Sus scrofa: one gene and its partners. The protein of the gene in region 2 purifies or fractionates together with the protein of the main gene of each other region. This does not show direct contact. Links are inferred from orthologs where the notes say so. Each region holds a gene or a part of one and is shown on either strand. Other genes may lie near its edges.

Evidence for each region. Proteins that work in one complex are often made in the same cells at the same time.
Region 1: the proteins of USP25 (region 2) and KLHL9 purify together in Homo sapiens (affinity purification with mass spectrometry; 3 studies listed by BioGRID and IntAct, with this or other methods). This does not show direct contact. The link is inferred for Sus scrofa from reciprocal best matches to the Homo sapiens genes USP25 and KLHL9.
Region 3: the proteins of USP25 (region 2) and KCTD10 purify together in Homo sapiens (affinity purification with mass spectrometry; 4 studies listed by BioGRID and IntAct, counting the BioPlex papers as one, with this or other methods). This does not show direct contact. The link is inferred for Sus scrofa from reciprocal best matches to the Homo sapiens genes USP25 and KCTD10.
Region 4: the proteins of USP25 (region 2) and BTBD9 purify together in Homo sapiens (affinity purification with mass spectrometry; 3 studies listed by BioGRID and IntAct, counting the BioPlex papers as one, with this or other methods). This does not show direct contact. The link is inferred for Sus scrofa from reciprocal best matches to the Homo sapiens genes USP25 and BTBD9.

Annotation. Positions count from the first base shown.
Region 1 is NC_010443.5:201,586,419-201,594,826, forward strand, and holds KLHL9 (kelch-like protein 9), read right to left. Parts: upstream 5,413-8,408; 5' UTR 4,852-5,412; coding exon 2,998-4,851; 3' UTR 823-2,997; downstream 1-822.
Region 2 is NC_010455.5:180,662,980-180,670,625, reverse strand, and holds part of USP25 (ubiquitin carboxyl-terminal hydrolase 25), read right to left. Parts: intron 6,747-7,646; coding exon 6,676-6,746; intron 5,201-6,675; coding exon 4,972-5,200; intron 3,603-4,971; coding exon 3,402-3,602; intron 1-3,401. UniProt on the Homo sapiens protein: Deubiquitinating enzyme that hydrolyzes ubiquitin moieties conjugated to substrates and thus, functions in various biological processes including inflammation and immune response.
Region 3 is NC_010456.5:41,439,729-41,448,039, reverse strand, and holds the start of KCTD10 (BTB/POZ domain-containing adapter for CUL3-mediated RhoA degradation protein 3), read right to left. Parts: upstream 5,413-8,311; 5' UTR 5,398-5,412; coding exon 5,179-5,397; intron 1-5,178. UniProt on the Homo sapiens protein: Substrate-specific adapter of a BCR (BTB-CUL3-RBX1) E3 ubiquitin-protein ligase complex. The BCR(BACURD3) E3 ubiquitin ligase complex mediates the ubiquitination of target proteins, leading to their degradation by the proteasome.
Region 4 is NC_010449.5:34,100,657-34,108,792, forward strand, and holds the start of BTBD9 (BTB/POZ domain-containing protein 9), read right to left. Parts: upstream 5,413-8,136; 5' UTR 4,517-5,412; coding exon 4,457-4,516; intron 1-4,456.

The DNA of each region.
Region 1 (8,408 bases), on a different chromosome or scaffold from region 2:
GTGGCACAGTGGGTTAAGGATCTGGTGTTGTCACTGTAGTGGCTTAGGTCACTACCATGGCATGGGTTGGATCCCTGGCCCAGGAATTTCTACATGCCATAGGCACAGCCAAAAAAAATCAAAACCAACCAATATGTATTTAATTACAAAGCAACAGGGTCAAACATCATAGAAGGCAGAAACCTTTTTTCAATAAAGGAAAAAACTTGTGCAGTGTAGAAGCAGGACAATACCATCTCAGCATGTCAGAATCAGCACCAAAAATTAAATATATCAAACTCTGAACAACAACAAAAAAAAAAAAAAAAAAGGAAGTTCTTTTGTGGCACAACAGGGTTAAGGATCTGCTGCAACTTCTACATGCAATGGGTGTGGTCAAAAAAAAAAAAATCAAAACAAAAAGCTATGTAAAAAAATAAAGGAATTTGGAGTTCCCGTCGTGGCTCAGTGGTTAACGAATCCAACTAGGAACCATGAGGTTGCAGGTCTGATCCCTGGCCTTGCTCAGTGGGTTAAGGATCCAGCATTGCCGTGAGCTGTTGTGTAGGTTGCAGACGCAGCTCAGATCCCACGTTGCTGTGGCTCTGGTATAGGCTGGTGGCTATAGCTCCGCCTGGACCCTTAGCCTGGGAACCTCCATATGCCACAGGAGCGGCCCAAGAAATGGCAAAAAGACAAAAAATAAAAAAATAAAGGAATCATAGCAAAATTATACCCAAAAGGTCAAACTGCAAAAGACAAATAAAATCTCAAAAATTAACTGAATGGCCCCGCCTTTGTAAACCTCTAATAGATTGAGAAAAAAAAAGCAATGCAAACAAATGCCATTAGATTACATTTATTATATAAAGAGATCCTGTTACTTGATATGAAAAAGAAAGTAACTCCAATAGGTGTTACAAGGGCAAAGGACATAACATTTGATTAAAGGGGAAACACAGCTACTCAAAAACCACAAATATTTAACCTCATCAATCAAGGAAATAATTGGGATGCTATTTCTTGCTTATTCAATGCACAAATAGCAATTTCTACTTTTTCTATTTCCTAAATATACTCAAACGTGCTATTTTCGGTGATAAATTGAGTCATTAAGAAACAGGAAGTGTGAAATTTTCTGCCAATGCAGAAATCATAAAAACATTAAAATGAATCAACACCTGTACGGGCAGTATGGTTCAGATCCCTTGAAACCAATTCCTTTTTGTCCTGGTTCCTGAGTTTTATTATGAGATTGTCAATAAAGAGAAGGTTGTTCCTGATTTACACAATGACAATCTCCTAGTATAGGAATACAAATATATATGCATGTAAATGTACATATATAATTTTTTCTTCAGGTAGACAATTATTCCAGGAAAGTACCTTTTCAGAATCACTCACTTTCGAGGACTGCTGTGATTCCATTTGCTGATAAGTTCCCATTAGATCTCCTCATGTGGTTCTCGACCAGTAGGGATGTGCTTGGTATTGAAAAGGCTGCCTAGACTTTCTATAGCTGCCTCCTTGAGGAATCTGAAATTGGTCCTGTGCTTTAGACATAGCCAAAACATCTTTCTGATTGGATACAAAACAGCACATAGCCTTGAGGCAGATCACACAAAGCTCAGGATGCACAAGGGCTGGAGCAGCACAGGGCAATCACTTCAAATTAGATAGTCATGTTAGAAAGACTAAGTTGGGAGACTGAAGTTAAAATCCTATATAGCTTTATTCAACATATATCTTTGCCTTTTTCATATCATAAGTTTTACTGAACAAAAAGGTGGAAAGTAGCAGGGCCTAAATTTACTGAGCAAAAGCAATTCTCTGAGACCTGAACTTTGCTGAATAACCTGTATATATGCAACTCTACAGAAGACAATATACAAACAGCAAAAATAATACAAGTTTCATCTGTAGTAACAATTCAGTCAAATGACAAATTTGGTGGTCAATTTAATGTTGTATCCCTTATTTATATCAATTCATTAAGACTACATATAGACATTTATTCTCTAGTACTGAATTCCCATTTGAATAAAAATAGCTGCTGGGTAGAAGAAAAGAATTTAAATTTAAAAACAACTGCACTATAACTGAAGTACCAATCGAATTTAAAATTATATAAGTGTATGCATGTGCATGTATGCACATGTATTTTTTTTCTCTCCCTCTCCCTAGAAAGAGATATGAAACCCTGATTTAGGGTTATAATATTTTTTTGAGTAAATATTTTTGAATTTATTATTTCTCCAGTCTACTAATAATCTCCACATATACTTTTGTCTTTTTTGAATTTTTAGGGCTGCACCTGCAGCACATGGAAGCTCCCAGGCTAGGGGATGAATTGGAGCTGTAGCCACCGGCCTACACCACAGCCACAGCAACTTGGGATCCGAGCTGCATCTGCGACCTACACCACAGCTCACAGCAATGCTGGATCCTTGACCCACTGAACAAGGCCAAGGATCAAACCTGCACCCTCATGGATGCTAGTCAGGTTTGTTAACCACTGAGCTATGAGAGGGACTCTTCTCCACGTATTCTGAATGTACCTACACAATCTGGGGAGTTGGCAGCTGTCAAAAACTCCATGAAAAAAGGGAGGTAGCTATTAAGACTTGGAGACGTTTTCTGCTTATTATTTTAGATTAGGGCAAGCAGCCTCCCTTTGATGTTTTGACATAAAAGATGAAAACTTAGCATCTTTGAAGCATAATAAACATAATTATATACACTTACTACCATCACCTAAACTTTGACTTACACAACACCACAAAAAGACATCTAACAAACACTGTTCTACTTATCTTTTTACATTTGCTAAAACAGCTATGTTGAATACATTTTTAAAATGCATTGTTAACCATTTGATAAACATACTAAGCCAAACAATACAAATTACATCAATTACCTCTTTAATCTAATAACTGTACCAATCACTGTAAGAAGATACAACTGAAGTGGAAGTATGGGATCATCCATGATGCACTGCAAAAGTATTACAGCTTGGTCCTAAGAATGATCTGAAGGTGCTGATAGAGGTGATTCTCTAGAAGGTGATCCAGGGTTTTCTTCAGGTGGAAAAACTGTGAGAGTACAAGCTCGAATGCCACCAAGTGATTCTGGAAGATCAAAAACTTTATGCCACTCATCCTTTTCTGGGTCGTATTTTTGGACAATTTCCACCATACAACGATTATTCCAAGAATATCCACCTACAACATAGATTTTATTTTCAAAGACGGCAACTCCAACATCACTCTGGCCTCTTAACATGGCAGCAATTGGTGTCCACTGGTCAAGGGTTGGTGAATAGTATTCACAGCTTAGAACATCATCATAATCACTTGTTCCTCTGAAGTGATTGCCACCAATGACATAGAGCTTATCTCCAACTGTACACATGCAGTGCAGACCTCTGACTGTAGTCATTGGAGCCTTCTGTGTCCATTTGTCCGTATCAGGGTCAAAACACATGAGCTCGTTTTGGAAAGTGTCATGAGTAATTCCTCCTGAAATATACATTAAGCCTCCATATACTGTTCCAGCATGGCCATAGTGGGGTTCATTCATTTTTGCAACATAGCTCCACTCATTCATTCTTGGATTGTAACATTCTACTGTGGCCAGTTCACCAGCTGCACTTCGCCCACCAACAGCATACAAATGCCCTTTCAGAGCACTTAAGTGGAAAAATGTGCGCTTTTCATTTAATGATGCAACCTGCATCCATTTATTATACCGGGGATCAAATCTGAAAACTGTATCAACAGCAGTTTTTCCTTTTGTATCATAATTACTTTGACCACCAACAACATAAAGAAAGTTTCCAATGACAGCAATGCCATGCTGGTAACGAGGAGCATCCATGGGGGCTAAAGACCTCCACTCTTGAGCTCTTTCATCATACATCCGTAATTCTTTACTGACAACCAGCTGCTGCCTCAAAACTCCTCCTAATGTAACCAAGTGGGTAGAGTCAGATCTAATGGCAGTTCTATCTGACTGCATCACTGGCTGCATATATGGCATCATTTGGTAATTGCTAGCTTCCAAAAGCAAATTCACACAAGTATTGTCTGTTCTCATGAAATCTACTGTCTGCACATAATTGATGAGATCCTGTGGTGTCATCAGTGGAAATCGAATGTTCTTCATTAATTTTGCAGCATAATCCATCCGAGGGTCTTCCAACCTTAGCCAGCGACACGCAGCCTTGAAAAGCTCAAGTTCAGTACAGTGCTTAAGACTGTTGCTGGAAAGCACAAAGGCAAGCCGTTCAAAAGGGAGTTTTAGAAACTCCCCAGTACTCAATAATGCAGGAAAATTCTTCAGGATGAAATTATTGACATATTTATCTACTTCTATAAGATTGTAGGTGTTAGCAATTCGTCCAACCTCAACACAGTTATCTAAAGAGACTCCTGAAATAAGAAACACTTTACAGAAGTCCAAAACAGGTAGAATTTGCAAAAAGCTGGCAGCTTCAAGTGTGTCCTGAAGATTGTCCATATTAAGAGAAAGTTTTGCAGTATAAATAAAATCAATTATTTTCTTCAGACCAACTTTGTTCACACCGTGAAGCTTAATGCACATTAAATCTTGTTCTTTCATTCCACCTGTGAACATAGCCTTGAAATAATCACTAGCAGACGCCATCATAGCTCGATGAACAGGGAAGATTTCATCTCCATCACCTGGTACCAGAGTCACATCACAAAGCAATCCTTCTATTCTAAGCTGATCAAAGCCTTGCAATACCACCGAACTGTGAGTATTGCTGGTAAAAAACCGTGTGGTTCCTGCCTTGCAAGGCTGTAAATGGGCAGAGACGCCCATTTCACCGTTACCAAGAGACACTTTCATGTGAAAGCCTTCCTGTTGCACAAAGATGTATGCCGGACAAGGAGGTTACGACCTGCAAGCTTTAAAGGAACCGAGGATGTCCCAAGAGCAAGAGAGCTCGCGTTCCTTATCAACAAGGGCAAACAATCGCCGTGGCGCCTCTCAGAACACACCAGTCATACACTGAATATTGTTCTGCAGCAGGACCACAAAGGGCTGTGGACCTCAAATCTGATTATTATGTAGATGATTCAACACCTGAAAGCAGTTAAGTGACCCGGTTCACCTCGTCCGGCCTGTGCTGCCGCTCCTCCTGCAGTTCCGCTGCCGGCAAAGGGGGGGGAGGTGCCGCCACGTCCTGCGGTTCCACGGCTCGCTCGGCGGCGAGGCCGGGCACCTCAGCGAGCAGCCCGCTTCGCCCTCCACTAACCCTGGTGCGTCGCCACGGCTACGGACCCGTCTTTGAGCAGGGGCCTGGAACAGCGGCCTGGGCCTGGGAAACGGGCCGAGCCCCGGGACGCGGAGCCGCTCCTTCCGGAAAGGCCTTGTCCCAGGATGCCCCGGGCTAGGAGCGGCCGTCGCAAATACTGCGGCTGCGCGGCTGCCTGACATTGTCAGTGGGCGGGAGTGTGGGGGATGAGAGGAAGGGCAAGGGGGACTGGAAGGGCGGGTTTTGTGCAAGTGGGGGGCTGTGCTGTGTGGGCAGGGGCGGGGCTTCTTCGGTTTACTTAGAGCGGCTAAAGAAGCCGGAGTGGGTACACGTTCATCGTGTTTGGTATAAATCTTTCAAAGCAGCTGAACGCTCCCCCTAAATGAACACTTTGGGATTTACACTTCCTGGCTTCTGCCTGTTGCATAACAATGAAATGCGGCTCTAGTAGAAACTGAAAGAAAACCTGATAAATGGTGGCAAACGGGGAAGATCTTAAAGTTCTTCCTCTATAAAAAAAATCTTTATGATTCTTACCCCACACAATTAATGAACACTTTAATTATAGCCTTGGTTCATATTTTCAGATTTAAATCATTTAAAACGTCACGTGCCTCTTTTTAAATAGCAAATTGTGACCACGCTATGTAAATAACAGTCTGAATTTTTGCCTCCCAATGGAATTCTATTATCAGTAAATTTTTCCTGCTCTTGTTTTCCAATCAGAAAATTTTAAATAGGAGTTCCCGTCGTGGCGCAGTGGTTAACGAATCCGACTAGGAACCATGAGGTTGCGGGTTCTGTCCCTGCCCTTGCTCAGTGGGTTAATGATCCGGCATTGCCGTGAGCTGTGGTGTAGGTTACAGACGCAGCTCGGATCCAGCGTTGCTGTGGCTCTGGTGTAGGCCATTGGCTACAGCTCCGATTCGACCCCTAGCCTGGGAACCTCCATATGCCGTGGGAGCGGCCCAAAGAAATAGCAAAAAGACAAAAAAAAGAAAATTTTAAATAGATAATCCAGTTGTGAGATAACTACACATACTATGGTTTACTTTACCCATCACCTGTTCCTAAATATATACCTTCTTGTCCTCCACTGTTTTATAGAATCTGGGCACAAAACTATGTTTGTTTTTGGATAAATCCAAAAAGCAGAATAATGATTGAAGACATATAAAATTTTTTTTTCCAAAATATCATCAGCAGTGTTTGAGTACACATTTCCCCTCTACTGATCTTTCCCTTTATGGATATTTTACTAACTTAACATTTTAAAAAATTGAAGGATAGTTGATGAATTTACATTTTTAAAATTACTAGAAATTGAGATTTGAGCATATTAATAAATGTATACTTTGACACACTGCTTCCAAAATTTTCCAGTTTGAAGTTATTACTGTCTTTTAAATCCTTTCACTTTATTCATGCATATGCAAATTGATGACTATATAGTCTTATATTACACTCTCCCTATTTTTATTTAAAAGATAGCATACCATACTCACTGTTCTATACTTAATGAGATACTCTCATTCATATAAAGAGAGCTTCTTTATCTTGTTTTTTCTTGGCTGCCCCAGCAGCATGTAGTAGTTTCCAGGCCTGGGATGGAACCCTTGCCACTGAAGTAACCACAGCCACAGCAATGACAGTACCAGATCCTTAACCTGCTAAGCCACCAGGGAAGTCTCTTCTTTATCTTTTTAAATAGTTGTATTGTTTCCCAATAAGTGTGTGTCACATATTTTTCAAATTAAAAAAAAAAAAAAAAAGCACAACCTAAAAGTTGAGAGTTATGTTTTATTCTGCAGATATTCTTAAGACTTCAAGCCTGGGAGGCCACACTGCAAGTAATCTTTAGAAAACTGTTGTGAAGAAGGCAAGGGACAAGCTTGGATATATAGGAGTTGTGCAACAAAGGGCACACAATCAGAACAAAAGATTACTGTTGATTTAAAAAAAAAAAAAAAAAAAAAAAGGAGTTCCCATTGTGGCTTAATGGTTAATGAATCCAACTAGGAACCATGAGGTTGCAGGTTTGACCCATGGCCTCGCTCAGTGGGTTAAGGATCTGGCGTTGCTGTGAGCTGTGGTGTAGGTTGCAGACACAGCTCGGATCCCGTGTTGCTGTGGCTCTTGGCATAGGCTGGTGGCTACAGCTCCGATTAGACCCCTAGCCTGGAAATCTCCATATGCCGCGGGTGCGGCCCTAGAAAAGATAAACAAACAAATGAACAAATAAAAAATTTTAAAAATAACTAGATATCTCAAGTTAAAGAATTTAGTTCTTTTGTATGTATGGGAAGATGCAAGAGTCTGGGCTCACTGAAATCATTCCTTTGATATGCACTTCAGCTATCTGGGGTCAATAGCTTTTGTTAACTGATTTGGCAGGCAATATTTTATTTCTCCCATTATTTGATTATTCCCCTACTGATGGACATTTAGCTGGTTCCAGTGTTTTTCTTTTGTTTCTGGTGGATGGCAGCAAGGTCCAGAAGGCTCAGATCACTACTGTTCTCCATCAAATGCGTCAGCAAATCTTCAAACTGTTCAGTATAAGAGGTTAATTAAAATGGGATTGACCTGGAGAAATTCTACTGGATTTATCAGCTTGGGCAAGTCCTGGAGACCTGCTTGGTGGAGGAGTTGGGAATGGAAGGACTCCCCACAGCTGTGAAGACTCCATAATGTACTTGGAAAAGTACTTCCAAGGAATCAGTTTCTCTCTGGGAAAGAACAAATAAAGCTACTGTACATGGGAAGTTGTCAAAGTAAGAAACCATGAAATCCTTCTTCTTATTATCAATCTTGTAAGAAAGATTAAGAACTAAGAAACCACAGATATGCTTTTTTTTTTTTTTTTTCCAGCCATGCCCATGGCATGTGGATGTTCCTTGGCCAGAGACCAAACTCAAGCCACAGCAGTGACTCAAGCTTCTGCATTAACAACACCAGATCCTTAACCTGCTGAGCCACAGGAGAACTCCCAGATGTATGCTCTTAAAGAAACAATTATTACAAACAGATACAACCCACCATACTCCCACTCGTTTAGTAATTTTAAAAGACAGTTTTTTTTTTCAGCTTCCATCATGAAATAAATGGATTAAACTTATCGGAAACGTTTACTGATAGTATTAAACAA
Region 2 (7,646 bases):
GGTTATAGCTTTATTGAGAAAATTTGCAAGGAAGGAAGAAAAATCACTATGATAGACCTTTCTTCTTCTTTTTTAATGGCCACACCTATTGTATATGGAAGTTCCCAGGCCAGGAACTACACCCCAGCTGCAGCAACACTGAATCCTTTAACCTACTGAATCAGGCCAGGGATCAAACCCATGCCTCCACAGTGACCAGAGCCACTGCAGTCAGATTCTTACCCACTGTGCCATGGCAGGAGATCCTACTTTTCTTTTTTTTTCCACATATGAGGGATTTTATAAACAAGATTTCCTAGTCACTCACTCATAACCCTAGTGCACACCTGAAAGATTTAAATACAGATTCTCTTTGACATTCTGAAAGTATTACACTAAATTAAAAGAGATTACTTTGAAAACTATGAGGAGAAAGAGGAAAAAGATGGCATGGGCATGAAAGCAAAAATTTTCTACTAATGACAGGAGACAAAGGATTCCAATGAACATTAAAATAGATTCCCTTATTCAACTGTGGTTATGTTATATTCCCCTGCAACAGAAGATGGATTTCTTTTCTTCCTTCCTTCCTTCTTTCTTTTTTTCTTTATTTATTTTCTGTCTTTTTAGGCCAAACCCAAGGCATATGGAAACTCTCAAGCTAGGGGTCAAACTGGATCTGCTGGCCTACACCACAGCCACAGCAACATGGTATCCAAACTGTGTCTGTGACCTACACCACAGCTCATGGTAATGCCAGATCCTAACCCACTGAGTGAGGCCAAGGATCAAAGCCACGTCTTCATGGATGCTAGTCAGGTTCATTACCACTGAGCCACAATGGGAACTCCTAGATTCTTAATATAATATGCAAGAGAATATGATAATAGAAACCAACCATTTTTTTTAAAGACCACACCTATAGCATATGGAAGTTCCTGGGCCAGGGGTTGAATGAGAACTGCAGCTGCCAGCCTACACCACAGCCATAGCAAAACTAGGTCCGAGCTGCATCTGTGACCTATACCAAAGCTTTTGGCAACACTGGATCCTTAACCCACTGAGCAAGGCCAGGGATCGAACCTGAATCCTCATGGAGACTACATCAGGTCCTCAACCCACTGAGCCTCAATGGAAACCCTCAATCTTTTAAGCAATACTCTCACCCCCCAAATTAACAGATTTAGTACACAGTATTTCTACTAACTCAAAGTATTTTCTACTAACTCAAAGTACATTTATTTCTAGCAATTCTATAGCGGACACAGTGTTTCCTATTGAGGCAATATTACCACTGCTTTCTAAACACCATGTCTGGAAGATAATTATTGATGAACTGACATTTTCAATCTTTTCTTTTTTTTACTTATTCTGGCTCTCAGAAATATATCTGTATTATTTTTCAAGTTTTTTTTCTAAATACTAAAATTAGACACATGAAAATATATGTCTAATACCTACTACTGAATTTTTTAGACTTTAGAAAACAGCCTATGAAGTACATAAATAGGCAGTATTGATCAGGAAAAAAGGGGTGTGGGGTTACAAACATGGCCTTTTCATATAGAGGGAATATAAGATAACTGTAAATGACGGGAGAGCTGGCTGGTCCTGTCAGACAGGAACATTAGTGGGGAATATGAATATGTATTAGTTTGACTTAGTAAAAATAAGATGTGTTAAGTATGTAAATTTAGTCTTGTGAGAAACAGAGAAGATGAAGAGACTACATAGAATTAAATATTTTGATGCTGCACACTATTAGTGAGCCAAGAAGAGTAGCAGAGCTTAACCAATGCCGGGAGGATTCTCCTCTGTCTCAGAGCTTAGGTACCACTACTACTTAAGGCCTATAATGCAGCCCCATCTTCCTGTTAATAAGAACAGCCATGTATAAATAGAGTCCTTAAAAGTTAAGGGAATGATAATACAGTAGCTCTCTCTAGGGATAAGTGCTAGGGAGTAATTTGAGAAGGGTAAGTGGAATGGAATCACAAAGAGGTGGAGTTGGCTCAAAAATGAAAGGAACTCAGAAATTTCTTTAAATTTAGTGAGCTACTTTATTCCTCCTAATGTGGATAAAGTTACTGTAACGAAACTGCATTGTTGTGAACCTAGTTTCACCTGCTCTACACAGTGGCCTTTGATGTATATGGGAAGAAAGTGTAGTCCTCCTCCAGCCAAGCTCACAGCAGATTACAATGGTATTTATATATCAAAATGCGGGCATAATGCCATTATCTTGATCTTTTAAAAATTCTGAATCAATGCCACTTAAGGTCAAAATCAAGGCATAAACTATTCAATTCATATGAATACAAGTCACAAGTCTGGAAATACCTGTGCATGTCTACCTCAGTCGCCATACCATATTGTGGTTTATAAATCTCTCACTGAATCAATAATTCCTTCTAAAGGTCAGATGATGATGTTGAAACATACCTAGGTAAAGCTGTATGGGAATCTGTCTATAAAAGATGAAATTAAATAAACACCTAAAATGCTCTCTTAAAAAATAAAAGCAAAACACACTGATCTTACAAAAGAGTGTAGTTCAAAATGATCTACTCAGTTATTAAAAAGGAGAGAGACAAATGAGTTTAAGGAAAATATCTGTTTATCTCTTCTCATTTACCCAATGATTAAGAGAAATAGCATCTTTTCTACAGCACAAAATATGTCACCCTAAAATACATTCACAACTTAATGATGCTGAAATTAATCCTAAAAAAATTATTAGACATTGTATTTTCAATTTTGCTAGAACATATTTTACTTTTATGCAGTGTTATTCTTAATAATTTTTTATTTCATCAGCTAATTATAAATTTTTTAATATTTGTACTTTTATATATTAATCTTCTCACTTGTTCTATAGATCTACACAGATTTTTACTTGGAATATGTTAAATATTTAGTTTCTGTTAATTTTATTTTTAAGAATTTTGGAAAAAAAACAAATACTCTACACTAATAGTAATTATTATAATACTCCACGTTATTAATACAGATAGTGTTATTTTGCTGAAACATGAAATTATTAGAGTTCGTTCTCTTGATAGCTTTAGTAAATTGGTCTGGGTTATACTTACTAGTTTCACAGCTTTTCTAAGCATCTTGCCAAGAAGAATCAATTAAAGTAGGCAAGATGGGTAGAGGGAGAGTCAGCAGAATGATTTAACTTGAAAAAAGTGTATATGTATATACAGTGTTATCTGGCAAAGGGGTAAACTACTAAATTGTTGCCTTTTGTTATCGCTGAGAAATGGAATTTCAGATAATTTTCACTGGAGTCTTCATACTTTAGGATAACTAAAGTTTTCTGTTGTTCTTACATTTTCAATGAGTATATCTTATTTTTATAATAAAATATAAGTAGTAAATATGATACTGATAATAAAATGCAATAAATGTGGACTAACCTGTTGTCATAGAAGACTCTGACTCTCTCAATTTCTGAGATGCTAAAAGTTTTTCCTGCAAAGCTTTCTGGGCAAGCTGTGCGTCCCATTCTTCTAGTTCTTTCTCAAATCGTTGGTTGTCTTCCTCAACAAAATCTCTTAAGTCCGGTGGTAGTGTTTCTATTCCAACAAGAGCCTGCCCAGTTTCTTTATTAAACTCCTCTGCAAATCATATTTCAAAAACTATTATAAAATTAAGGATTAAAGGAAAAATGTAAAGCTCAAAATGAAGGCATTTCAAATTTAAAGTACAAATTATTACCATTTAGCAAATCAATACTACCTTTAAACTAAAACTCAAACAAAAGCTCAGAAAAGCAGTGTTGCAAATATTTGATAATCCATTAGAGGTAATATTCAGCTTTTATTTTTAATCTGAAGAGTAAAACATGGAACAAGGCATAAAGCCAAAACTGTCTGCTACTCAAACACTTACATAGCACTTTTTCTATGGTAAAATACAGATGTTTGATTATTCATGAAGTAAAACTTACCACAAAATGAGAACAAAATGAAAATAACATTAAGCTCAAAAGAGAACCAAAATTCTTTTCATCTGAAGTAGTTAAGTACAGCAATACACCTATGTGCAATTTTAAAACTAGTCAATCGTAGTATTTAAAATGGTTATTCAATCTCTAGTAAACACACACACAAAATAAATTTTAGCTTTCAGTTGTAAATGAACTACCTAGCCAGTTTTGCTAAATGCCTAAATACAAAAGGAAAGGTGATTTTATCAGTTTCAGCAAACCTTTAAGTGTTTTTTTATATGCAAAGCCTGTACCAGAATATGAGAAACAAAAAGATTAAGACATAGTATGACATGGTCCCTGGCTTTGACCAGATCAGAGTGAAGTGGGAAAGACAAGTCAACACACAATTCTAATACACAGTAAGTAAGTGCCCAGTAGAGGTACGCTATGAGAAACAGGAAGGAGCACTTTCTGGCAGGTCAAGGAAAACGTGGCAGAGCAGATGACACTGAATTGAGTCTTGACAGATGAGTAGGAATAAGGCAAAAGAAGAAAGAGTAGTATCATTACTGGCAAAAAAATAAATAAAAAAAAATATAAGCAGAGAGATATAAATGTTTGAAATTATTTGGTATTAGCCAACTATGGCAAGAAGTTCAAATATCAGTATATACAGTTTGAAATGGACAATAGTTATAAACGAAGCTGGAGAGACAGAGGTCAGAAAGTGGAGGCCTTACATGTTAGGCTAAAGAGTGTGAATATGAGCCAATGTTTGATAGAGTCATTAAAGGGATGTTAACAAGGAGAAAGAAGTCATATTCACATTTCATAATAGATACTAAAAAGTTTTTGAATACATATTACATTCAAGTAATTATCACATTACTTTCCAATTCCAGTTTTCTCACTTAAAATAATCCAAGAGCATTTTCTAATCATATCCATCATACTCTAAGTAAACTACACTCAACTAATCACACCAGAGACCAGAGTCACACAAAAGGGCTACTTATTTAAAAATAAATACCACCCTATATATTTTATATTCTTACCTTGTATTAAGAATTGCGGCTTATCATTTATATACATTAAACAGTATGCACTGGCATTTCTATAACCACCAAAGGAATCCCTCACTAGCTCTTCCCATGATGATTTTGTTACAGCAATATCATTGTACTTCATCCACCTGTTTTCACGATGATCAAAAATGTATGCCCAGTAGTGCCCGGCATTAGCTTGGCCTTCATGAACTAAAACAGCATGTAAACGATAAGGAACCTAGATGTGAAAACAGAAGAGTTAAATTGCAGTTAGGTAATCTATTATGCCACATTCCATGAAAGTCACAAACCATCAGACTGGAGGATTCTATAAGGATATATGTTTTTTAACAAGAGTAAGTTGGCTAGAATTAAAGTTTTGAAAAAATTAAACTATGAAATAGAAGATGAGGGCGGGGGTGGGGGGAGGATAAGCAAACTAAATACATGTAAAACAGACAAGTGTATAAAGAGGATGATTTTTAAAACTTTGGAAACGTATTTTGTTGACCTATTTATTTCTTTCAAACAAAGAATTGTGAAGAAATATACAGCACATTGTCTAAGTCTTCACAATTATAAACTGATGGATGAGTTCAGCAAAATGGCTTCTATAATGTACCTCAGATGTTAAAATATAATTGAGCCTTTTACTTTCTCCCATAACCTTAATATTCCTTTTTTTTTTTTTTTGGCCATACCTACAGTACATGGAAGTTCCCAGGCCAGAGTTCAAATCCAAGTTACAGCTGTGACCTACGCCTATGTAGCAATGCCAAATCGTTAACCCACTGTGCTAGTGCCAGGCCAGGGATCAAACCCACAATGCCACAAAAACAACACCAGAATCTTAATGCCAGATGCGCCACAGCAGCAATTCCTTTTATTTCCTTTTTTAAAAAACATATTCTTAGCAATCATATAATTTCTCCCATAGGATTTTTTTTTTAAATATTAAGGCCTTCTGGAAGTTTTTGATAAATTTTATTATAAAAGAATAAAAAGGTAGGTAAGAGGGAGTTCCTATCATGGCTCAGCAGAAATGAATCTGACTAGTATCCATGAGGATGTAGTTCAATCCCCGGCCTCGCTCAGTGGGTTAAGGATCCAGAGCTGCCATAAGCTATGGCATAGGCTGCAGAGGTGGCTCGGATCCCGCACTGCTGTGACATGGGCTGGCAGCTGCAGCTCTGATTCGATCCCCTAGCCTGGGAACCTCCATATGCCACGGTATGGCTGTGAAGAAAAAAAAAGACAAAACGGCAATAAATCCAGTATGAGAATACAACTGAATGAGGAAAATACTAATACAAAATATTTAAGTTCAGCAATTTCATAACAAAATGTATAAGAGAATTAAGATAAACATCAGGAGTTCCCGTGGTGGTGCAGTGGTTAACGAATCCAACTAGGAACCATGAGGTTGCGGGTTCGGTCCCTGCCCTTGCTCAGTGGGTTAAGGATCCGGCGTTGCTGTGAGCTGTGGGGTAGGTTGCAGACACGGCTCTGATCCCGCGTTGCTGTGGCTCTGGCGTAGGCCAGTGGCTACAGCTCCGATTAGACCCCTAGCCTGGGAACCTCCATATGCCGCAGGAGCGGCCCAAGAAATAGCAAAAAAAGACCAAAAAAAAAAAAAAAAAAGATAAATATCAAAGATAAATTAAAATATGTAAATGATTATGATAATGCTTACTAGCTCAAAAGTCAACTTACCTGTATCATAGATTTGTCAGAGTACATTAGTTCAATTGTGCGATGGATTCTGGATATGCTTTCCTGCAAATCTAAGGACAAAAGATGTCATTTAATGATTAACACCAAGTATATTTTTACTGAGACCTATAAGTAGGGAATAAAGGTTTTCCTACCAATATGTTAGAGAAATGGCGAAAACTTCCTAAAACTGTTTTTAAAAACATTACTATTTGGAATCTGTATAAAATGAAATTTAGTTCTCCTTAATGAATGATAACAGCACAAATGAAAAATTAAAAACCAAACAAATATGGTTCATTTAAAAAAATGTGCAGAGCCAATAAATAAAGGAAGGTTTCAACGAAAATTAAAGCTAAACTCCCCACATATTTGTATTAAACACAAAAACTTTAGAATGAATTAACTGCACCACATATCATGCACACACACACATACACCTGAATAAAAATCCACCATAATCACCACTGGAAATAAAGTTATGAGACTCTCATTATTGTTTCTATTTTCAGTAGAAAACTATCTCATCTAATTACTCAGAGGTAGGGATAACTATATTATCCGTAATTATTAAAAACAAAACAAAACTGGAGACAACCTAAATATCTCTCAATTGGGAAATGGTCAAATTATAGTATAACCACACTATACTATTAAGATGTTAAAAACAATCAGGAAAAAAAACATCAAAGACTACAGAAAATTTAGTAAATTTAGAGTAGAGAAAGGCCTTTTTAAGCCTGATAGAAAATCCAATAACCATAAATTAAAAGATAAGACTACCTCCCCAAATTTAAGAAAATCTATATTATAAAAACAAAAATCAACATAAAGAAAGTCAAATGACAAACTGGAAAAATATTATTTGTGGCCTACACTACAACCAACAGGTTAATACCCATAGCATTAAAGTTACTATTAAGCAATAATATAAAGACAAAGGGCTCCATATAAAACCATAACTGTCACAT
Region 3 (8,311 bases), on a different chromosome or scaffold from region 2:
CACGCACACACAAAAAAACCAGTAAGAGCCATGGCTGCTTTTTTACCAATTAGAGCGTGAGCCCCACTCCATCCTTCCTGCCTTCAAGTGAGGAATTGCTGAGACCCAGTCACAGAATTAGTCCTGTTTTCCGACAGCATCAAGGCAGAGCAAAGCCCCACTTCCCTGACTTCTCCCCCCCAAATCACCCACCACAAGCCCGAGCGCTCTGAGATGCCCCACAGTTCTCCCCCAATGCACCAAGGAAAAAAACCTGACTGACTACAGACATGCTCTTGGTGGCTTTGCCAGGAGGGCACAGACAGCACAAAACTTTTAAAACTATTCCCTGATACTGCAAGTGCCCTTCTGGCACAGTGGGTTAAGGATCCAGTGTTGCCACAGCCATGGGGCAGGTTGCAATTTCAGTGTGGGTTCCATACCTGGCCCCAGAACTTCCAAATGCTGAGGGTGCCACCAAAGAACAAACAGAAAAACAACAAAAACTATTCCTTGATACTAGAAAAAAAGATTGTTTAGTCTTCTTAAAATTCTCTATGCCTCTCTACCTTTTTCAGATCCCCCACAATGAACACCTATTACACTTATGGTAAAACACAACTGTTATTTTTTAAATGGAGAAGGGACTGACAAGTAGCAACCTGCCATCCATGGGTGATAGCAGAGACAATGGCCAACTTGATCTCCATTGCATCAAAAGAAATCACCCACTGGGGAACTGGTGGCAGGGTCCTGCAGAGTGACACAGACAAAGAATGGCCTCCTGGGGAGCAAAGTGTTTTCGAAAGAAACTGTTCCTGCTTCATCAAAGGAAAACATCACAAGAAGTTAGGTTTTCAAAAGCTCACCTGGGGCCTCTGTGGCCTGATGCCTAACACAAAAGACTAAAAGCAAGCAGTGACCTCTCCCTTTCAGCTTTCCTCTGAAATCAGCCCCCAGAGACTGACACTAACAGTAACCACCAAGCATTTCCCCCAGAAAGACACTGTCCATGGGATGACAGAAACAGCTTATGGGAATAAAGACCTGGGAGGGGGCCTTACAGTTAAGGATTTTAGGGGGGTTGGGGGAGAGAGGGTTAGTTAAGGAAATTTATCCCCAATGGAAATACTTTAAAGCACCCCTTTCAGATCTAAATTTACACAAAAGTCAGTATGTTTTTGGGAAATGGTGTAGCATTTTTGTAAGGCACTTAACCATGAAACAGACAAAAAAGACATCATAAAGGATAATTTTATGTACTGTACTTTACTTTCCAATACCTTTTTAAAGATAATCAGCACACAATAAAGTGTAGAGACAGATGAGTTTCAGACAACTTTTGCATCTATGGAGCCCCCACTCCAGTGGAGATAGAGAACATTTCCATCAATCCAGAGAGCCCCTCCTTTCCCACTCCTCCCTCCAGAAGATACCACTGCTTCAGTTTCTATCCCCAAGTACAACCATTTAAAACCTAAATGATGTTGGACAACAGCCATTGTTTCCATTCTGTGGATTCCGATACCTTAGCCCATAGACATTCAGTCACTTCCCAAAGCATACTGGTGACAGAGGAGGTGGCTTGGTGACAAAGCAATAATGATGTAGGCAAGTCCTGCCTGGCCTCAAGCCCATGACTGTATCAATGATCATGCTTGGTATGGAGAGTTATGATATATAAACTGAGAAAGGGAGCCCCACACCCCCCTTCTTCAGGAAGTACCAAAAAAAAAAAAAAAAAAAAAAAAAAGCTAAAAAAAGAAAGAAAGACAGAAAAAGATGGGAGGTCATGTGTGGCTGAGGGCTTGGGTTTGGAAGTTGGAACTGAGTTTAAGCCCCCAGCCCTGCCGCTCACCAGCCGCGGGAGCCTGGACGAGTCATCTCTCTGAGACTAGCCCATCGAGCAAGCAGGGACAGCAGGCACACCTCCCCCCATGGCTGCGGTGAAGGATGCCACAGAGAGTCTCAGCCGGCCCCTGGCTCAAACCAAACACGAAGCACTCCAACTATGATCATCTGAGAAAGCTGTTCAAGTCTCAAATTATCCTCTCTCTGGAGATGTTTCTAGCTCTAATGACATTCAGCTGAATTACTTGGAGATACAGGCAGAAACCATCCTGATCTAGAGCTTGAGACTCCCAAATAGACAAAGAAAGCTCTGAACCTTTCTAGAACCCACCTTTCCAAAGGTCAGTCACTATGAGAGGCCCTCGGCAAAAAGGTTCTGGCTGTGTCCACGTCCCTAAACGCCAGTCACAGGCAGCAGACGACACAAAGCAATAGACAATAAGCGTCTCACAGCAAATCTCTCTTCAGAGGACTCCTCAGCCATCCCCACTGGGATCTTGCTTTTTAACTTGTTTCAAAGGCTTGAGTTCACTATCAACAAGGCTGGGGAGGTGGGGTGGCAGAGAGCAAAATTGGTTCCAAGAAACAGAGGTAATTAATACTTGAGCTATTGGTTACTGATTGATTCAATCAGTTTATTCCAATTAGATGGACAAGTCCAGGCTTCTCTCCCCCTCTGAGAGTACTGTTGCTGATTCTAAACAGTGGTTCTCCACTTAAGAAAAAATACTGGTTCTGGGCCCTACCCATGGAAATTCCTTTTTTTGTTTGTTTGTTTTTGTTTTTAAATGGCCGAACCCACGGCATGCGAAAGTTTCCAGGTCAGGGACTGAATCTGAGCCGCAACTGCAACAATGCCAGATCCTTTAACCCACTGTGCTAGGCCAGGGATCGAACCTGCACCTCCCCAGCAATCTGAGCTGCTGCAGTTGGATTCTTTTAACCTACTGTGCCGTGGCTGCAACTCCTATCCATAGACATTCTGATGTAATTGGTCTGGGCATAGAGCCTGAGCAAAAGAATTTTAAAATTTAAACTCCCTAGGTGATTCCAGTGTGCAGCCAATATCGCAACCCACTGTTCTAAAAGTTCTGTGTAGCCCCCACTCCAGTCAGGCTACATTTAACTTCCTGGTCTTGGAGAAGCTCCTCAACCTCTTGTTCTGTGGGTCCAGTGAATTTCTGACCACACATAAAAACAAACCAAATCATCAAAAGCAAAAGCAGGTCCCTACTCACAGCTTCAGGCCACATACAGACAGGAAGCAACTGTACACATGCTTAAAAAATAAACCATCAGCCCAAGGTGGGAAACCTTTGACTTGAAAAGAGGCCCAGGCAAGGACCACAGGAAAAAAGGCACCAAATCCCTCCCCCTTAGAGGTTTCCTCTACATCTCTATTTAACTATCTCCCTGGTGTGTGGGTTGGGGGAGATGTGTGTGTGGAAGGTTAGAACGAGCATTTAGCAAACCTGGACTGCATGTCTGTGTGAAGTTCAGACAAATGGCTTCATAGGGGATCAGTTTCCAAACTTGTAAAATTCAGTTAAAACCATATGCTTCATAGTAACCCTCAAGGAATAAATGAAGTATTTAGCATAGTTTCCCTTCCGCCCCTCAAGCTCTCCTGAAGACCAGAGGTTCCCAGCCCAGGTGGCAATGGACTCACCTGGGTGCACTTAGAAAGTACTGATGCCGAGGCTTCACCCCAGAACAATTCATCAGATTGGGGAAGGGTGTGGCAACTCTGAAACCAGTGTTTCAAAAGCTCTTCAGATGATTCTAATGTGCGGCCAGAGCTGAGAGCCACAAAGCTAAGGCGTTTCTTTAATCAGCCAGATTCAAGAGTCACTGCCTTGAGGCCAATTATAAAACTTTCCCAAACTGAGGGCACTTCTTCAACTCAGAAAAAAGTCTGCTGTTCCATTTCAACTAAATTCAATCAGGCACGTTAACTGTAGCATTGGTTTGCATCTGAAACTTACAGAATGGCTTCTGCCCAATTTCTTTCTTTTGTGTTGAACACACAAACCATCGGTCTATTCCTCTCAACAGTCTAGTGAGGAAAATGTTATCATCAACCCCATTTTAGGGGAAGAAAAGTAGGAATCAGAACTATTAGGGTCCTCCGATGCCCACTCTCATGCCCCTCTATTACATAGCCCAAATTAAAAAACTCATTACTCTCAACCCCTGCACAGCTTTTGCTGAAACAGACTGCTGGGCCCCACCCCCAGAAGTCTGCGGGACGGCTTGAAAACTTAGCCTTTTCTACCAAGTTCCCAGGTGATGCTGCTGGTCTTTGAGAACAACTGCTTTGTGCTTCCTTCCCCTCAGGTGGAACTTATTTTGCACAAAATACTGTCGTCCTAAGTCAAATACAGGTTGAATCTTTTTTTTTTTTTTTTTCTTCAGCATTGGCCTTGGTACTAGTGTGCCCTAAAGACTGCACTTTCCAGGGAGGAGCCATGGGACAAACAAGTAAAAAGAGAATGTGGGTTGAACTTTGGTCATTCCCACCCAGGGAAAAAGCTATTCGAGGAACAGACCCTTGATGGCTTTCAAGCACAGAGAAACCACCCCACAGCTAGGAGATGGACTGTGAGACACCCCAGCTCCTTAGGCGTGACCACCTTGGACCTTGAGGGAAAGGACTAGATAGGTACCCAGGAGCCAGATAAGGGGCTGGACTGCGTGGCGAAGGGACCCTGACTTCAGACCCCTGGCAATCCTCCGCGGAGTTCCCAAGACCCAGCGCACACTCGCCCGTGGGCTCCCTCCATTTATTTCCTCCACTCCACTGGTTCAGGGGTTCAGACGTACCTGGAAGCCACTTCCCCGAAAACCATTACCTTCTACCTCAACTTCCAAAGCTCCCTCAAAGCTCCGCTCCTAAGGATCCCACTTCACCCTCTCATAACCAACCCATCTCTCCTTCACAACCCTCCCCAAATTCTCATTTTCCACCCCAAATGTCCGTCTTCAATAACATCTCTTTGTTCTCTCTTTAATCACCAACTCCCATTTCCAAACAGCCCTAAGACTCAGAGACTGCCCTCTCTACTCACCCGCGCATATATTCCCAAGCCCAGATGCCCTTTCCAGGATCCCCAACAGCCAGGGACACCCCCCCTACACACACACACAATTTTCTCACGTACAGTTCTCCGTCCAAAGCCCTTCCCCCACCCCGGGCTCTCCCCGCATCCTAATGCTCCCACCGCCTCTCCCCTACCGCAGCTGCCCCTCAGCGCACCCCTCCTCTAGGTCTCTGCCCCCTCTACTACGCCTCTGTCCTGCTCTCTCCGCTGCCTAGAGCCCCCAGTCTATGGGCACCGCCCTCCTTACCATGAAAAGTCGGAGGACGCCGGAGTCTCCAAACCCGGACTGAAAGAGACAGGAAACACCCAGTTCGCGTGAGCCGGGGGCGGAGGTGGGGCCGGGGCGGGAACTTCCGCTCTCTGCACCCTCCTTCCGCCCCGCAGAGGGCACTTTCCTAAAGGATCCGGTGTACCCCCAGATATAGGATTCCTTCCTTCCAAATTCCTCGGTTCGAATACGCTGCATCTCTTCTCGGACGAGTCAGGAATTTATCCTGCTCCTGAATCATCTGTTTTGCCAGCTTACAGAGAGGAGGACACGATGTATGGAGGTTTTCCTTCCCGAACGCAGAAGCTCTAAGGAACTTTCGTTTCCCGGAACCGAATAGCTGTTTCCCGACGGAACTCTCATGGAGAACACCCCGGGGCAAGATGGCGGTCTGGCCGCGGCCGCTGCCCCGGGTCTGGTACAGCTCGGCAGTTTGGGGCTGAAGCTGTGGTCACTGCGGCCCCGACCTCTAGCACCGGGGCCTCGAGCGGATAAAGGTCTATGGCCTGCGGGTAGCGAGTGGGGACAGGGTCTTGGGTTCTCCGGGGGCTGGGGCCGGGGACTTGGAGGGAGGTGGCCCGGAGGCCCGAGTCCCTGCTTTGCCTGGTCGGAGGGGCAGGTGCTGGGGGCTAGCTTTCGGGCTCCAAGGGTGTCTCTTCGAGTCCTTTTTACCTCTGGGACAATAGGCCTTTATAATCGGACTTATCCTGGGTGGAAAAGACTTGTTATTGTCGTTGTCGATGCTGAGAAAAGACGCCGGGCCTCAGGAGTCATCCAAACCGGAGTTTGAATCCTACTTATTCTGACCTTGGGTAAATTCCCTCTCCTCTCTGAGCCTTACTTTCCAACTCTGTAAAATGGAATAATGAGCTCGTGCCACAGAGGGTGATGTGTAATTCAAATTTTAGTACTGTGCCTGACACTCGGCTCTCAATAAAAGCAGCTGGTGTTAATGATATCAATAAAGAAAAACTTGGTAGTGATCTAACTTAGCCCCACAGGCAGCCTTACATTCTCGACTTTTCTTTGCCTTCTGTGAATAGGGGGTCCCTGGGTCTTCGGTATTTCACTTAAAATAAATGATCCTTTGGAGTTAGGAGTGGATTCAAATTCAGGGACCTAGAGAGCTCTGGCAAGACATGTCCCTTCTCTGTGTGAAGGTGGGATTGAAGATAGCCTGCAGGGGAGTTCCCGGTGTGGCGAAGTGGTTAATGAATCCGACTAGGAACCATGAGGTTGCAGGTTCGATCCCTGCCCTTGCTCAGTGGGTTAATGATCCAGCGTTGCTGTGAGCTGTGGTGTAGGCCGCAGATGCGGCTTGGATCCCCTGGTGTCTACAGCTCCAATTAGACCCCTGGCCTGGGAACCTCCATATGCTGTGGGAGCAGCCCAAGAAGTAGCAAAAAAAGACCAAAAAAAAAAAAAAATAGCCTGCACCTACATAGGTTGTAGCCTTCAATAAATGATAGCTATTACTATTAACAGTCCTGTTGCTTATTCTTAAGAAAATTAGACTCTTGAGATCTGATAGAGCTTTTGGAAAAACAGAAGGTGGTTAAATATCTATAGATGTCTGATACATGGTCCACTCTTAACAGATGGTTATGGTCATTCAACCTGGCTGGCCAGTCGTTTCCACCATGAGTGGAGAATTCTCTAGGTCTTGGGCAGCAGTTGGTATTTATGGTGTTTCACCTTTGGACAATACTGCTGAAGTGTCATGCTCTTTCACGGTTCTCTATCATGTTGGCCTCACCCAGCAGAGACTGATTTTGAACAGTCTTATGGCAATGTAGAAGTAGAAAAGAGTCCTGTCTTAGTATTAAAATCTTGACTCTGTCCCTTACTAATGGTCTAACCTGGACTGTGGGAGATAGTAAATGATCTCAAAGGGTTGTTCTTTCTTACAGGAGATCACAAAGAAAGGACTTGACAGGGCAGTGGGTACTCAGTATGTTTCTTTTGGCTTTTCAGACCATCTTGGTTATCACCAATCCCTTGTTACCTAATCTTTCACCGTTGTCGCCCTAACTGGATTGTAAAGTTCTTAAGGACAATACAATAAAGCTCACTTACATGCCATCTGCTTTCAGATAGATACTCCTTATGAATATTTTCCTTTTAATTCTAATAACAGTGTCCTGGATGACTAAATCGAGATACAAGAGGGGCAAATTTTCATCTAATCCTTTTAGTAACTCTAGGAGGTAGGTACCATTATTATCCTCAATTTATAGATAAGGAAACTGGGGCCTAGAGAGGATAGGTAACTTGGCCAAATGACATAGAATCAGAACTAAAAGAACCAAGGGCTACCTGATCTGATTCAAGGCTTTTTCTGCTACACACAGCCTTTCCTTTGATCTTCCAGGACATTTATCAGAGTAAGTACTTGATAAATACTTCTGATGTGTTTCTATTTGATTGTTGCACCGTAATAGACATTATGTCAGTAGAGGAGGTGAATAAGAAAGAATTCAAAAAACTGCAAAGTATAGACCATTATGAGGTGTAAACAGAAACCACTATATAGTGTTGCTGAGGGGATGATAACCTTGAAGAAGGGATCTTATCGTGCCCGGCCCCCTGGGAGAAGTGAATGTTTGGAGATAGTGTTACAGCTATGTAGTCATAGTTTGCATACAACCTCCTGTTTTTCTCTTGGGAAGAGGCTCCCTCTTCCGTCCTCCCACCCTAACCCACCCCCCGTGAGGGACTATCTCCGTGTTAAGGAAAGAGTATGACTTGGGCTAGTTCGTCTGTAGGTCTCAGGAGCTTGAAGCTGTTACCCAATCTAAACAGAGCCAGAGGTTCATAGCCCAAGTGACAGAACTGGTGAGTCTTAGTGTACCCAGGGATAGGAAAAACTCCTCACTGGTGACCATTATTCCCTACCCAGAGAACCAGAGTCACTGTACGGATGGGGGCCTCTGCTGAAGAGTTTAAAAAAGGAAAACCTTTTGTGTCTATAAAAATGACACGTCAGGTAGACTTCCTGACAGTGTGCTCCATCAGCCCTCGATAGGTACTTGGTGTGTATCTCCTTCTGTCCTCACAGTCAGCCTCTAAGCTGATTAACAGATAAGGCAGAACAGCTCTGCGATACCTCCCT
Region 4 (8,136 bases), on a different chromosome or scaffold from region 2:
ACACAAGAGGAGGAGATTCTATTTATACTTTGCAGGCAGACTACCTTCTTTTTTTTTTTTTTTTTTTAAGTGTAATTTATTTATTTATTTATTTATTTATTTATTGTCTTTTTGCCATTTCTTGGGCCGCTCCAGCGGCATATAGAGGTTCCCAGGCTAGGGGTCGAATCAGAGTCATAGCCACCAGTCTACACCACAGCCACAGCAACGCAGGATCCGAGCCGCATCTGCAACCTACACCACAGCTCACGGCATCACCGGATCATTAATCCACTGAGCAAGGGATCGAACCCGCAACCTCATGGTTCCTAGTCGGATTCGTTAACCACTGCACCAGGATGGGAACTCCCAGACTACCTTCTTAACATTAATTCTAAAAGAAAAAACAAATTGTGACTAATAAACTATTTCCTGTTAAAATTCATTTTGTTTAAATGCCATCACATTATTGACAAACATAAAATGATCAAATGTAGCAGAATTGATGAAATAGATAAATACCTGCAGTCTATTTCCTTCTCTAAGTTTACAGACGCAGCAGCTTATGTTTTACTTGGCCAACAGCAGGGGGTGAGCTGCTGATAGGGAAGATTCATACAATACTTCCTGTGCTGAGCTGTACCTATGGGTAAATCTAAAGTAACCCACACACTCTGTGGATAAGGAGGGTTTTAAATAATGGAAGAAGAGAACTTTTTAAGACTATTAAATGAAAGATGTTCCATGCAGACAAGATGGCAAAGGCAGGAGTCTCTATCAGGGCACTATCAGAAAATGCGAAACTAGAAAGGAAGTTTGCTTTGAGTAAAAACAGAGACAGAAACAGATAAACAGTATGGTAGAAACTTGCACTACAAAATGTGTCTAAGACGCCTCCAAGGGAACAGATCAGAGACTGGGAAGTACACATAGTTCTGTTGGAAAGATCCGGGCAAATCATTTCCAAGTCCCTAAGATTCACTTTCTACCTTAGAAAAGGGGTGGAAGGCTATGAATGCAATAAAATTCATTATTTAAAAAAAAAAAAAAAAAAGAAAAGGGGAGAAGGGGGCCACCATCCTGTGGTCCTTCAAGTTCTAAAGCTCTACAACTAAATCATCTATGTAGGAAATTTTTTGTCTTATTAGGGCCAAACACGGCATATGGAAGTTCCCAGGCTAGGGGTCAAATCAGAGCTGCAGCTGCCAGCCTACACCACAGCCACCACCACACCAGATCCAAGTCGTGTCTACGACCTATACCACACCTCATGACAATGCCAGATCCTTAACCCACTGATCAAGGCCAGGAATCAAACCCACATCCTCATGGATGCTAGCGGGTTTGTTCCCACAATGTAACTCCATAATCTGTCAAATTTTTAAATACACATTTCCTATAACCCAGCTATTGTGCTTCTAGAACTATTGATTCAGTATTGCCTGTAACAATAAAAAGTTGGCGGGGGTGGGGGGGCAACTAAATATCCATCAATAGGAGCTCCTGTTGTGGTGCTGTGGAAATGAATCTGACTAGTAACCATGAGGTTTCGGGTTCATCCCCTGGCCTGGCTCAGTGGGTTAAAGATCCAGCATGGCTCTGAGCTGTGGTGTAGGTTACAGACATGGCTCGGATCCAGCGTTGCTGTGGCTGTGGCGTAGGCCAGGAGCTGTGGCTCCAATTCCACCCATAGCCTTGGAACTTTCATATACTGTGGGTAGGGCCCTAAAAAAAAAAAAAAAAAAAACCATCAATATGTAAGTGGCAAATAAATTACAATGTATCCATGTAACCCAGGCATTAATAGGAATGGAATAGATCTGAATGTTCTGACCTGAGCTCCAAAACACAGTAAGTGAAGAGAGCAGGCCTCAGTTCAATTATGTAAATATAAATATATGTAAATGTGTGTATATACTTACGTTACTTAAACATCTACTGAATTAAGTAAATAGATACCTAGAAAAGAAGACTGCAAGGCCACACACTAACTGTTAACAGCAGTAACCCCAAGGAGGAGGTGGAAGTGAGCGGACGACATAAAGGAGTGAATGGGAAGGTTTATGTTTAAACTCAAGGTACTTCTGAAGTTTCTGCTTTAAAACAAGGATTTATCTTTTATATAAATGATATTTCAAAAAATTTTGAGAAGTTTAAAAGGTGATGAAATATTTAATGAAATATTTATCAAAAGAAGCCTCTTTTTTTTTTTTCCCCAAATAAAAGGATGAAAACACTGATATAGATGATCTTGGACTTGCTATACTTTCCTGAAAAGAAATCTGAGAAATGAGCAAATATTGATGGGAATAGATTTTTAGTACATAAAAGATTTTTAATAGTTATCTAAAAATGAGCCAAAACACAAATTCCTGGAGAGGAGCAACAAGATCTCTCTTGTGTCCCAAAAGGATAGCATTCAATAAATAAATATTACATTGAAATAAAATGATCCAAGGATAGGCTGGGGACACAAAGGTGGGACTCCATGTCACTCTCAGCAACTGATTATAAAAACACATGTGCTCAGGAGTTCCCTGGTGGTCCAGTGGGTTAAGGATCAGTCCTTACCACTGCTGTTGCCTGGGTTCAATCCCTGGCCCGGGAACTTCCTGGCCTGGGAACTTCCACATGCCACAGGCACACCCCCACCCCCACAAAAAAATAAATAAATAAAATGTGCTCATCTTAAAAGTCTCTAAACTATTTACAACCAGATATTTTCATTAGGAAGTTCTCCCTCCTCCCAATATTCAACACGTATTTGGTTTCCTAATTTCCACTTTAGTAGTCAAGGTTATACTTCTATATCATACTTTCTATGATGTTTCTCATATGCTTCAAATATTTTTCAACTTATAAAACCACTTTACTATGCAGCACTTTTCTTGGTGTACTCTTGCTAAGTCTCTAGTGATTTACTATTTTTTCCAACTGTAAATTCTACAGATACTTCAGGAATGTAAACATATGTTAACAACAGTACAATCCTAAGAGTCAACATTCTGGTAAAAATCTTTGATACCTTGCTATCCTTTTTCTCCATTCGCACATCCTGTTGATGTGCTTTTCGACAATGCAAAGATCTAATTTTCAGAACAGAGGAAGGATATGGCTGTTCATTATCTCTACACTCCTATGTTTTTAACTTGTTAGGATAGCCTGTGCTGCTTTTTCTAAGGGGAAGGACCCAGGGGAAGAAAGCATTTAAGAATAGAAGTTCAGGAGTTCCTGTTGTGGCTCAGTGGAAACGAATCTGATTAGTGTCCATGACGATGCAGGTTCAATCGCTGACCCTGCTCAGTATGTTAAAAACCTGGCACTGCCCTGAGCTGTGGTGTGAGTCGCATATGCGGCTCAGATCCTGTGTTAAATGTGGCTGTGGTGTAGGCCAGCAGCTACACCTCCAATTCAACCCCTAGCCTGGGAACTTCCATGTGCTGCACCTGCAGCCCTAAAAAAAAGAATAGAAGTTCATGAAAGAAATGATTCAAACAGCTCAGTTCTAGGTAGCTTTCTCAGCTAATAAGCAACTCAACAAACATTTGGGTGAAGGCTTACTGTGAGTTTAACTACGGGGTGAAGAAAGTAGCAGGTGATGAGCATTACCCACCCACAGAAACTTAAAAAGCTAATTATCCTTTCCTTGGGCTGTTAACAGCTGTGACTGATCTCACAGCAAACCATCACTAGATCACTACAGTTTTCTCTCCAATCTTACCTCCTCCATAATTAACAAAAGATGACATTCCAACACCGAGTAATTTATAAGCCTTAGCATTCTTCAGTCTTTTCCACAGAAACACCATTGCAGTATCTGGTGGCCAGCCACAAATGCCTATTTATTCCTGGAAGCGCTTCAAGACTGGCCCACTATGGAAACTAACCATGATCGGTAATATTAAGGCAAAATGCTGAGTCTCAGTGTGGGAAGAAAAAAACACCTCCCTCAGCTTCAGGGCCAAAGAGAAAATTCTTCTCCACTCGCCCCTGCTCACTGGATCAGACCCAGGAATTCCCACTCTGCCTTCTTCAATTTCCCTCATCTGCAGATTTTCAGCAGGTTTTTTTCTCTCTCTGGCTCACTAAGCAGAACAGTCAGAATCTTCAGTCACTCTCCTGCCCCTTTGGAGCTGCACTGGCCACAATGGTAGCCAAGCATCACATGTGGCCACTGAGCTCTTAAAACATGACTACTCCAAATTGACATGTGCTGTAAAAAAACCTTGTATTTCAAAGGCTTGCTAAATATCTCATTTATTTTTTCACATTGAGATGTGGAAACAGTAATTTTTTTCTTTTTGGCCACACCCATGGCATGCGGAATATCCCTGGCCGGGGAACAGACCCGTGCCACCTTTAGCACCCAAGACACAGCAGTGACAATGTGGGATTCCTAACTGCTAGGCCACCAGGGAACTCCAAATGATATTTTAGATATATTGGGCTTAATAAAAATATTTCCAGTTAATCTTACCTGTTTTTCTTTTATCACGGCTAATAAAAAATTCTGAATTGCAAACATGGCTTCTTGCATTTGTAGCTCACATTACATTTCTATTGTACAGCACTGCTCATAGGTTGTCTTAGGAAAGGCAGCAAAGAGCGTTCAAAGTCACACTAAGTCTTGGTATCACCACAGACAATTACATAACCCTTGACACTGTTGCGCTGCATCCCGAAGGCCTTTAAGACCTGCACCTGCCCAGCTTTAAGACAGAAGAACAGAGGTGGAGTCAGCAACAGAGACATCAGTGGCTTATGGACCGGCGATCTTACATGCCTGATGCAAGGCCCTGGAGAGACACCCCCACCAGGCGTGGTGGGTGTCGGGCAAGACAAGGCCGCAGGTTTTCCTCCCGAGGGGAGGAGGAGCTTGCCAGTTATAGGGGAAGTTACCTCAGATTGGCTCGTTAGTTACCAGAGAAACCAAGAAGGGGCACGTCCCTCACAGCCCCTTTGTTTTAAGAACAATCACTAACTGGGGTCTGGGGCCAGTATGTGGTAAGGTCAGCCTTGTGAGTAGGGTGAAGTGAAGCAGGCCCTCCTAGAGCAAGGGATGGAGACAGAGCAAGAAAACAGCCATCTTGAGTGGCCTGATCCTACAGACACCTTACCTAACCCTTTTCTCTTTTGTAAAGTGTGGTGATACTAAAATGCTACCTTAGAGGACTGATGGTAGAATCAAATGGGGTAAAGTAAACTATGGTGCCTGGTACATAATAAATGCCCAATAAATATTAACCGCTACCATCACTGCTACTACTACTATACTACTATCATTATTCACTATGAGTACCTGACGAAGACAAGGACAAGACATGAGTTGGTAGAAAAAAGATGGAGTGGAGTTCCCATCTTGGCACAGAGGAAGCTAATCCAACTAGGAACCGTGAGGTTTCACGTTCGATCCCTAGCCTCGCTCAGTGGGTTAAGGATCCAGCGTTGCTGTGGCTGTGGTGTAGGCTGGCAGCTACAGCGTCCATTAGACCCCTAGCCTGGGAACCTCCATATGCCGCAGGTGAGGCCCTAAAAGGACAAAAGACCAAAAAAAAAAAAGGATGGAGGGAGGGTACAGACAGTCCAGAGAGAACTCTCCATTTCTCTTCCGGAGACACACCCACACGGACAGCCTCACTACTCAGTGGCAGCATGGGGGTATTTGCAGGACACTCTCACTCCATCCAATTATGTATGTCAGAGGATGTGGAAATACGGCCACTCCTGTAACAGTTCCAAGAACCTTAGCCTGGATGCCCTTTCCCCGATAGGGAGAGCCAGAGATGCGTTGGTTCTTCTGAGATGCCACTGTTTTCTCACATGACCAAGGCTTTTACTGCTGGAACCTCTTATATTCCCCATGTCTAGTTAAATCTGCCTCCTCTTTCAAGGCTCGGAACAGACTTCACACCCTTCAGCAAGAGCCTTCCCTGATGTTGCCCATCTACGTCAGGGGCCCCTCTCATACACCCTGGGATCAGCTTCTGTTTCCGCCATCACTGCCCCCATTAACAATGTCTTGTGACCCTGTTACTGACTTGTCTTGTTGGTAAGTAAGCTTCCAATAGGGCAATAACATGAAATCACTCAACAAATAATCAATGTCTTACCATCTTTACCCTCCCAGAATCTAATACAGTTTCTAGCATATTCAAGTCAAAATTAACCAAAAAGGGCCATACAGATATGAACAGATCTCTGTTCTGAATTCCAGACCCCCATATCCCACTGCCTACTTTGTGTCTCTATTTGGTTCCTCTCAAGTACAAAGGTACTTCCAAACTCACTTCACACTCTCTACACCCTCTCTGCCACTAAACCCTGCCCTCCTACAATGTTCCCCAGCTCAGGGAGCCCAATTATGGAAATCAGAATGCCCTGCTTCAACCTTACCTTCCATACCTAATTCACCTGCAAGTCTTTTCATGTTATTTCCTAAACAAGCTCTCAAATCAAGCTTCTATGTTACCACCCTTGTCTCTCACTTGGACCATTCTCACCCATTTCCTTCCCCGTTTTCACTCCAAACTGTCCTCTACCAGCAGCCAGACTGAATGTCAAAGTGTAAATCTGATTATGAACTCTCCCTGAACCCCTCCCTCCCTGACCCTCACCCCCACTTAAATACTTCCAATGGCTTCCCAGGCCTCTTTTTTTGGGGGGGGGGGAGGGCGGGGGATGCCATGCCAGAGGCATGTGGAATTTTCCAAGCCAAAGACCCTTAACTTCCTGAGAGGCTAGGGATCTAACCTGCATCCTCACAGACATAATGTCAGGTTCTTAACCCACTGAGCCGCAACAGGAACTCCTTTCTTTAAAAAATAATTTTAATAAAATAATTTGCATCTCAACCAAATTAGAAAGCAACATTGCCCCTATAAATTTTCAGAAAACACTTGGAAGGCAAAGTCCATAGCCATAACCTCTGCTGGCCAGGATCAGCGTACCTAGAACACACTGGCTCCAAACTCAGAGAATATTTAATCTTAAAAGCTTATTATGTGTGACTAGGTCACCTTGCTGTACAGTAGAAAACTGAAAGAACACTGTAAACCAGCTGTGATGGGAAAAATAAAATCATTTAAAAAAGAAAGATTATTACTTGCTAATTTTGTTTCTTTATGCATCATGCTGTAAAGGTTGTCTTTGAAAATCACATTAGCACTACATTTTTGTTCCAATCTTTTTCCCAAATGGACTTAAGGTTTGAAAGACTGATAATTACCTTTTTCCCTCCTCCTCCTCAATTATTTAAATACTCAGTGTGTACATGGTAGTGCTCCTTGAAATTAATTTTCACAATTAAAGAGACTTTTAAAGCTTCTAATTAATTTCCCAATTCATTTTTTAGATGTGAACAGAGAATCACCATCATCTAGCAGCTCATTATACACACTATAAAATATTGCACCCCAGCTGTGAAGCTGGCCATAGTAAATATGTTTTGTTACCTTAATCAAGATTTATGATAACATAATAATGTAATTTTTAAAGGCCACATGCCAAAGTACTTCCTAAATTAATAAAAATACTTAGCACTTAACCTATACCACACTTGAAAAGCATCACACGGTCTTGCAGGTAGCTATTTGCCCATGTGCCCAGGGCTAGTAACAACTGATGGAGAACCTGTCACCAAGCCTATTTACTTGATTTATTTTACAGTAGCCTTCTAAGGCCACATACATAATGGGTACTCACTGTGTGATGGGAAAATAAATTATTTAGTCTGGACAATCTGACAGTGTTACTATTAAGCTATTAATTCCCCAAGAGGGGGAAATTCCCTGAATAGCTTTTTTTTTTTGTGCCCAAATAGCAACACTACTAGTAACTATTTACAGATTCCTGGAACCCTAGACCTGGAAAGGACTTAAGCATCATAACCATGGTTTTTTACAAATAAGGAAACTGAAAAACTTGTCAAGGCTCACAGCCATCAGTGGCAGAACCTAGGATAATATGATAAGGAGAGAAAAGACTATGGATTCTCAATCTCCTCATTCAGGAAACGGGGAAAACTGGAGCTCCTGCTGTGGCTCAGTGGTAACGAACCCGACTAGTATCCACGAGGATGTGGGTTCCATCCCTGGCCCCACTCAGTGGGTTGAGGATCCAGCGCTGCCACAAGCTCTGGTGCAGGCTGCAGATGTAGCT